Sus scrofa: one gene and its partner. The protein of the gene in region 2 purifies or fractionates together with the protein of the main gene of each other region. This does not show direct contact. Links are inferred from orthologs where the notes say so. Each region holds a gene or a part of one and is shown on either strand. Other genes may lie near its edges.

The links.
Region 1: the proteins of NCKIPSD (region 2) and GEMIN2 purify together in Homo sapiens (co-immunoprecipitation; 3 studies listed by BioGRID and IntAct, counting the BioPlex papers as one, with this or other methods). This does not show direct contact. The link is inferred for Sus scrofa from reciprocal best matches to the Homo sapiens genes NCKIPSD and GEMIN2.

What each region holds. Positions count from the first base shown.
Region 1 is NC_010443.5:169,674,869-169,678,783, reverse strand, and holds the start of GEMIN2 (gem-associated protein 2), read right to left. Parts: upstream 2,633-3,915; 5' UTR 2,618-2,632; coding exon 2,448-2,617; intron 2,079-2,447; coding exon 1,994-2,078; intron 1-1,993. UniProt on the Homo sapiens protein: The SMN complex catalyzes the assembly of small nuclear ribonucleoproteins (snRNPs), the building blocks of the spliceosome, and thereby plays an important role in the splicing of cellular pre-mRNAs.
Region 2 is NC_010455.5:31,374,609-31,378,455, reverse strand, and holds the start of NCKIPSD (NCK-interacting protein with SH3 domain), read left to right. Parts: upstream 1-771; 5' UTR 772-896; coding exon 897-1,067; intron 1,068-3,568; coding exon 3,569-3,678; intron 3,679-3,806; coding exon 3,807-3,847. UniProt on the Homo sapiens protein: Has an important role in stress fiber formation induced by active diaphanous protein homolog 1 (DRF1). Induces microspike formation, in vivo. In vitro, stimulates N-WASP-induced ARP2/3 complex activation in the absence of CDC42.

The DNA of each region.
Region 1 (3,915 bases), on a different chromosome or scaffold from region 2:
TAAAAGCAGAATCAAGACGAAAAATGAATAATAAAGCAAATAAGACTACACAAGAAATAAATTTCTATAAATTTTTTTTCAGATGTAAAAAAGGGAATTCTCTTTACTATTTATGTCTGAGACATAAGACATTAGGAAAAGACCCCTTATATGATCACTTTAGTAAGAGCAATATGGAATGGCTTATAGTTTATATATTTATGTATATATTATATGTATTAAGAAATCCAAGAGTTCCAGTCGTGGCTCAGTGGTTAATGAACCTGACGAGCATCCATGAGCTTGTGGGTTTGATCCCTGGCCTTGCACAGTGGGTTAAGGATCCAGCATTGCCGTGAGCTGTGGTGTAGGTTGGCAACTACAGCTCTGATTGGACCCCTAGCCTCCCCCAACACCCTCTTTTATCTACTAGTCCATCAATAACATATCTACTAAAGAGCTTAAAATTATGTCTGAGCTAATAAAAGTAGGAATACTACTTTCTACTGTGGCTGTGGCAAAGGCTGGCAACTACAGCTCCGATTGGACCCCTAGCCTGGGAACCTCTATATGCTGCGGGTGCAGCCCTAAAACAGACAAAAAAAAAAAAAAAAAAAAAAAAACAAATCATACGAGCCCTGAAGATATAATCTAGCCCTACTTTTCTATAACAGCAAAACAGTCTGAAACAAAAAGAGAGATATATTCCAAAAAAAGAATCTTGGTATGAGTAGAATGTACTCAAGTAATTTAAGACTTTTGACTTTACAAGGTCTACTTCTGTTTCCCAAAATAGCACATAGGTGATAAATGATCACATATTGCCTTGAAATAAAACTTAGTATGGTCTTTTTTTTTTTTTTTTTTTTTTTTTTGTCTTTTTAGGCCTGCATCCATGGCATATGGAAGGTCCCATGTTAGGGGTCAAACTGGAGCTGTAGCTGCTGGCCTACCCCACAGGCACAGCAATGCTGAATCCAAGCCACATATGTGACATAGACCACAACTCACAGCAATGCCAGATCCTTTAACCCACTGAGCTAGGTCAGGGATTGAACCCATGACCTCCTAGTCAGGTCTGTTACCACTGAGCCACAATGGGAACTCCTAGTATGGTCATTTTTTAAAAGCCAGATATATAAGGTATCATCTTCCAGCAACTAAAAACTTCTGAAAAGGAATTACATGAAAACTATAGTGTCTGAATTAAAATCTCCTGATTATAAACATGAGATAAAGGAATTACTTAGAACATAAAAGGAAAAGGAATTATTACAATTTAAAAACAAATTGAATCCTCTCCTTCCACTGTGGGTTAAATAGCACCTCCTTAAGGAGACCTTCTGCTGCTAATCCCTGTTACTTATTGGTCATTATGTTAACTTTCTTCACAGCAAGAGTCAAAATACGCAATTAAATTGTTTGCTTTTCTTCTTTCTCAGGAGAATGTAAACTCTACAAGGGTAGGGACATATTTTTTGTTTCATCCTCTGTTGTATTTCCAGTGTCTAGCACAACAGAGTTGCTTTGTAAAAAGTGTGCTGGATAAACAAATGAAAAGGTTTACAGTGGCAAAATACCTAGAAAAGTGTAAGATATTTTGATTTCAAATTTTTAAAAAACAAAAGCCAGTCAAATTCAGAACATGCAAACTACATTAAAGTTAAATATCAGCCCAATAATAATTATGAAGAAGTGCAAAAAGATACCTTAAAAATAAAGGATAGCGTAAGTAACTTATTTAAAGCCTCCTTTAGGATTTGATCATCTTCTTAAAGTATTATGAGCAAATCTCCATGAATGCTAGGGTTACCAAAAGCCTCTATGGAAGCAGTAAATGGAATCTGTCCTTTTAGGGGACAAAGTACAAGCAAATGTCTAATTTACTAACTTACTACAGAGTAGTCAAATCTTAACTGATACTGCCTGATACTATCTGATACTATACTAAGAGCCTTGGTCTTTTAATTTGTAGTTGGGAGTGGGAAATCCCCTGACGGGTAATAAAACTCACAGAAACATTTACACTTTGCTTCCTTTTCAACTTCTTTGGGTCAATTTGAGCTACCACAACATCTGGACATTGAGCTGCTTCGATCCTACAAACAAATAATAAATGCAAGAAACGTGATTACTGTTGTTCATGCGCATTAAAACAAGCGATCCACTTCTACAGTTCATTACAAAATCAGAAAAAAAAAGTTCAGAATTGCAATTGAGGTACTAAACGATATATTTCTGAAATTATCTGGACTGAAAGCAAAGAAATTTAAGTTCACGTTATCTTCTCACGAGTAATCACGTTTAGCAAAATTAAGTTCATAGATGCAATGAAGGGATCTTGATCCGGTCCTAAACTGGAGACGGGATCAGAGACAGGGCTTTATCAAATTTGGTGGTGGGGCGAGGCACTGGGCGCTGTGCGCAGGGAGAACCACCAGCCCACCGCACAGGGTCTAATCACTCACTGGACCCGCCTCAGGTATTCCTGAGGAGTCCTCGGAGGTACGCTGGGATCGAAACCTTCTGTCAAGTCGCAGGGCTCCACTGGCAACAGCTGGGGCATCAACTCTTCCACCGCAGCCTCTGCAGGTACCCACGCCATAGTTTTCAATCCGGCCCGTCCTGCCCGGCGCATGCGCCAAGTCTAGGTCACAGCGCAGGCGCACAAGTGGGCGGGCGCCTTTGGCGCGGAGATGGGCAAGAGGCTGGGTTTAGGGGGCGAAGCTGCGCATGAGCTAACTCGCTGGTTGTCCTAAGGTTAAGGCTCGGGTGGAATAATGAAGACCAGGAATTTAGTTCCTGGTACTAGTGGTTCTGAAGTGTTTAAGGGGGGTTCCTTCTTTACTCTCCTAAGTAAATACTGAAGATTATTTTATGCATCCACAGTAGTGAGGGAACTTTAAATGTTTTTAAATTAATGAGCAGATTACTGTAATTATCACTTGTTGAGCTCTAAATTCTTAAGTCTCTGGTAGACACATCACATGCATTTCTTCTTTCTTTTCTTGGCTAGGCCTGTGGCATGCTCCCCTGCCAGGGATTGAACAAGCGCCACAGATGTGACCCAAGCCGCTGCAGTGACAACGTAGGAGTTTTAACCAGCTGCCCCACAGGGGAACTCTTCCATGGAATAGAAGCAATTGCTGTTTGAACAAAAGCTAGCAGTTTTAGTGACAAGTCTTGTCAGCATTTAAAGAAGAAAAGACAGGCATGAAATCAACCGTGTTGTAATTTTAAATGGCCATCAGCACCTTGACCTGGTATGTGCTACTTAAACTCTTATGCTCACGTTCATTTGTTATTTACAGGGATTGGACCAAATTATCATTAAGGTCTATTTGAGTTTGGAATTCTATTAACTCTAATGTGTAATTTATTAATTAGCTTTATTAACTATACCTGATATTATTGTAGTCTTAGGGCATGCAGAGTAGAACATATATGATGCTGAATATTACTTTTTCTAGTGAGTAGTTCAAAAATAGTTGGCCAGTGCTTTATAATGTCACCATCTGAACAAATGGAAGAGAATCCACGTTAGAAAAAATAAGTGCCTCGTTTATAGAGTAAACAAAAAAGAAAAAGTAGAGGTGAAACCGCCATCTAGTGGTGACCATGTAAAATTCCCAGAAATTTGTGTTACCATATTTTACCTACTGCTGGAATCTCCAATTTGGAAATCTCTGTGGGTTCAAAAGTAGGAAGGAAAATACTGGCTGTTACACATTAACAAGTGATTAATTAATGACTGAATAATGTTCAGAATACTTGCCCCCAGATGGTCCCTGGAAAAAAGTTCCAAGGTCAAATATCTTTGGGAAATGTATGCAAATGCCACTCTTAAAGATTCACAATGAATATTAGCATATTAAAACTCTTGACAAGTCAAGATACCTATTGTACATAATTTTACTGGTGTTTTTGACCACAGGA
Region 2 (3,847 bases):
AGAGAAGCATCAGAAACAAGATAACCTGGAGTTGTAAGTCGCCAGAGACAACAGAAAGAGCAACGTGACAGCAATTTATAGGGGTTCGAGCACCCAGCAACGTTATGCTTGAGGGAGGGAAGTGTCCCAGGCAGAGGAAACTAGGCAAAGACCCACATTAGAGAAGGAGAGGGATGCTAGTGGTGGGAGAGAGGCAGTAGGCTGGGAAGGGAGGATGGGAGGACTTTGGACAGAGAAATGGCCCCACGCTGTGGTTTTTTTGTTTTGTTTTTAAAGCCCCCTCCTTGCACCCCAGTGCCTACCACTGGTGCGGTAAGCGGGATCCGAAGGCCTAGAGATACCGTGGAGACCCAGCCCCTACTGACGCCTTTAAGTATCAAGATGCAACAACAGGACTACCTTCACGGGGACCTTTATATTAGTAGGTCAGGACCCACTCCTTCGGGGTGGCCAGGACTCACGGGACTATCTGCGAAGGACACTGGCTCTGCCTTTGGGCTGCAGGCAGAACGCTACTTTGGGAAAGTAGCACAGCCGGCAGCACTTGGGCTTGAGTGGATAAAGGGAGTGGAGGGCTAGGCGAGAGAAGCTAAGGCTGGGGTTCTAGGGAGGGTGCGGAGGTCGGGAGGCATGAGCTTGCAGGGTTGCAGAAGCCCACGGAACTGGCAGAAAGGGCGATGGACTCGCCAGTGCTTTAGGCCACCAGGGGGCTCCGCGCTTCTGCTCGGAGACCGACACACTCCCGGGGCGGGGCTGCGGCGGGCGCGCGCGCGCACGCGCCGTATGTCACGGGGCAAGGCGAGCGCGGCGAGGCGCTCCTGGCCTGGCGTCCTGAATCCACAGACCTCGCCATCTCTCTTGCCCCGGCCCGCCCCGGCCCAGCCTGGCCCGTCCCCATGTACCGCGCGCTGTACGCGTTCCGCTCGGCGGAGCCCAACGCGCTGGCGTTCGCCGCGGGCGAGACCTTCCTGGTGCTGGAGCGCAGCAGCGCGCACTGGTGGCTGGCGGCGCGGGCGCGCAGTGGCGAGACGGGCTACGTGCCGCCCGCCTACCTGCGCCGCCTGCAGGTGAGTGTGCCCCTCCCTGGCCCGACCTCTGCAGCCCCTAGGTCAGCTCCAGAACAGCCTCACAAGGCTGACCCGACACCCCAGGTCCGTTGGGACCTCCAACAGATAATGGAGTTTGAGAAACTGACCCTGAGACCACCCCCGCCACAAGGACTGGGGCTCTAAGAACCCGCACCCCCACAGAAGACCATGCCCTTGACAGCCAACTCTGAGGAGTCCAGACCCACCAAAGCCTAAATCTAGTACTAAGACTCCTTGGGATCGCGGACCCATCGGGACCCAACATCTGAACCCCCATCCAAATAGAATTCAAGAGTCAGTCCTGAGATTCCAGCAACACCAAATTCTGACCGGTTCCACACATCACTGAGACCCCAGACCTAATCAGCCCCTTCCTGGGATCCTCAGGATCCCACAGGCTTGCTTCTCATCCCTCAGCTTCCACCACGGAGACCTGGGAAACCCTGGACACTTCCTGTTTCCAGCCATCTCCATACCCTCACCCCACCCCAACTTGGACCCAGAAGCCTCATCCCCTAAATAACCCCCAAGCCCCTAGACCTCATGTCTTTGACTACCCTGTACTCTCTCATTTCCTAAACCCTTCCTAAGACACATTTGCTAACCCACTTTGAGCCAGAGATCCCAGTCCCTGCTGACACTCCCCGGCACTACTCTCTCTACCTTCTTTCACAAGCCTCAGGCCCTGACTTTTCAGACTTCCTTTCTCAGAAAGTGAGGGGCTCCATCTCTCCTTATCCCCACTCTGGGTGGGGGCTTCTCCCATTGCAAGGAAGTGAGACCTCTCCAGGGCTTCCCTTGGTCTGGCTGTAGCCCCATTTCCTTCCAGTAAAGGCTGCAGTCCCAGTTCCTGTTTCCCCAAGAATAGTCCTGGTGTGGGGGCTGGGGTGCATTGTCTCCAGCTGGTCTATTCTGATCACAGGGGAAGGAGGGCCTGGAGCCTCTAGGCCTGCCCTGTGCCAGACACCTCCGCCCCATCCTAGTCCCTAGTCTTTAGGAGACATCCTATCCCAGCCCAGTTCAGGACAGAAATAACAGGATAAATTTGGAGATGCCATCTGGTCTTGCCAGAGGGGATGGGCCCTGGACCCTTGGCCTCCTGGTATCTAGGAGTGTCTGGGGTGAGAGGGGGAGCCCTGGACACTAAGGCTGGTGAGTCTGGAATGAGCATGTCAGACTAGCCTCTCAGGGGCTGGGGGCTTGTTGGAGAACTGAGGGAAGTCCTGCGTCTTCCCCAAGGGCCTCTGAGACCCCTCCCCAACCTGGGCCACTGGGGCTGGGTGTTTGGGGCAGGCAGAGAGGCTATCATATTTTCTATCCCCTGGCTTCTTGCTGCATATCTCCCTCTGTCTTGGCCTCCCTAGTCGTCTTTATATCTCTGTGTCATTCTGACTCTCCACCTGTGTGTATCTCTTTCTTCCTCCGACTCTTTGCTTTCTCTCCGCATCTCAGTTTCTTCCCATGTTATCTCCATCTGCTTCTCCCCGCACCCCATCTTTCTTGCTTTCTATGTGTAGCCTGTCATTCTCTTTCTGTCCCCCTTTCCGTCTTCTGTCTCCTACACTGTGGCACTCCCCATGCTACCTGGAGGGCTTTGTTGACCTCTGAGTCCATCTGTCTGTTCCCATCAGAGAAATTTCACAAACCCACTCTGGAGTGCTATCACTTTAGTTCTGAGGTTCCAATGCCTGACGGACCATGTGTGCCAGGGGCAGGGAGGGGTAGGGGTAGCTGGTCCCACAGCTGTCACCCTCTTTTCCCCACCCCATGCCAGCCAGGACCTAGATTGGACCCTGAGTTACTGTGGATGGCAACACAGAATCTGGGCCAGGGGCCGGGGGCCAGGTCCCGTGCTCATGTCTGTCTTTTGCCACAAACACAGAACCATTGCTTCCCAGGGTGGGTCTGGAAGATTCCTAGAACAGTTTGAGGTGATGAGGGCTAGCAGCTGGGTGGGAAGAGGAGATCCCTTTGGCCCATCCTCAGCTACCAGGGCCTGCAGAAGACTCTCTGAGGACAGGGCTGTTCTGGAATGTGACCTTGATTTTGTGAAAGATCAGCAAGATCTAAAGTGATTTGTTAAATAGTTCCAAGCACTAGAGGCTCCTGGCTTGGCATCTCCACCAGGGATCTGAGCCAAGCCTGGGGATAGACTGTGTACTCATGACCTCAAACTAGGGGTCCCTGGGCTGTTTTTGCTCTAGACTCCGGGTTTTCAGACACATCTTAGCTAAGAGCCTCACTGTGAGGTAAAATCCTGAGTAGGCCCCAAGTATATAAAGCAGCACTCACCCTGTGGCCCAGCTCCCTGAGTTTGTGAACCCCATTTCATATTCTAGTTCATCTTACTATGTTCACCTAGCATCCTGGGCTTTAGCTGTAGTGGTCTTCTGTCTGCCCCAGGCTCCATCCTGGGCTGGTTCTGGGCTCAGTATCCTCACTTGGCCCCCAGGCCTAACTGCCCATCCCTGCTCCCACAGGGCCTGGAGCAAGATGTCCTCCAAGCCATTGACCGGGCCATTGAGGCTGTGCACAATGCAGCCATGCGGGATGGTGGCAAGTACAGCCTGGAGCAGCGCGGAGTTCTCCAGTGAGTGAGGCAGGGGGTGGAGCATGACAGAGGTAGGGGAGCTGGGCTAGGGTGGGCAGCATCCCACAGGGAGCATATGAGGACCCAAGGAATTGTAACTCCTCCAGTAATCCCTGTCCCTCCCTTAGGAAGCTGATCCACCACCGGAAAGAGACCCTGTCCCGCAGAG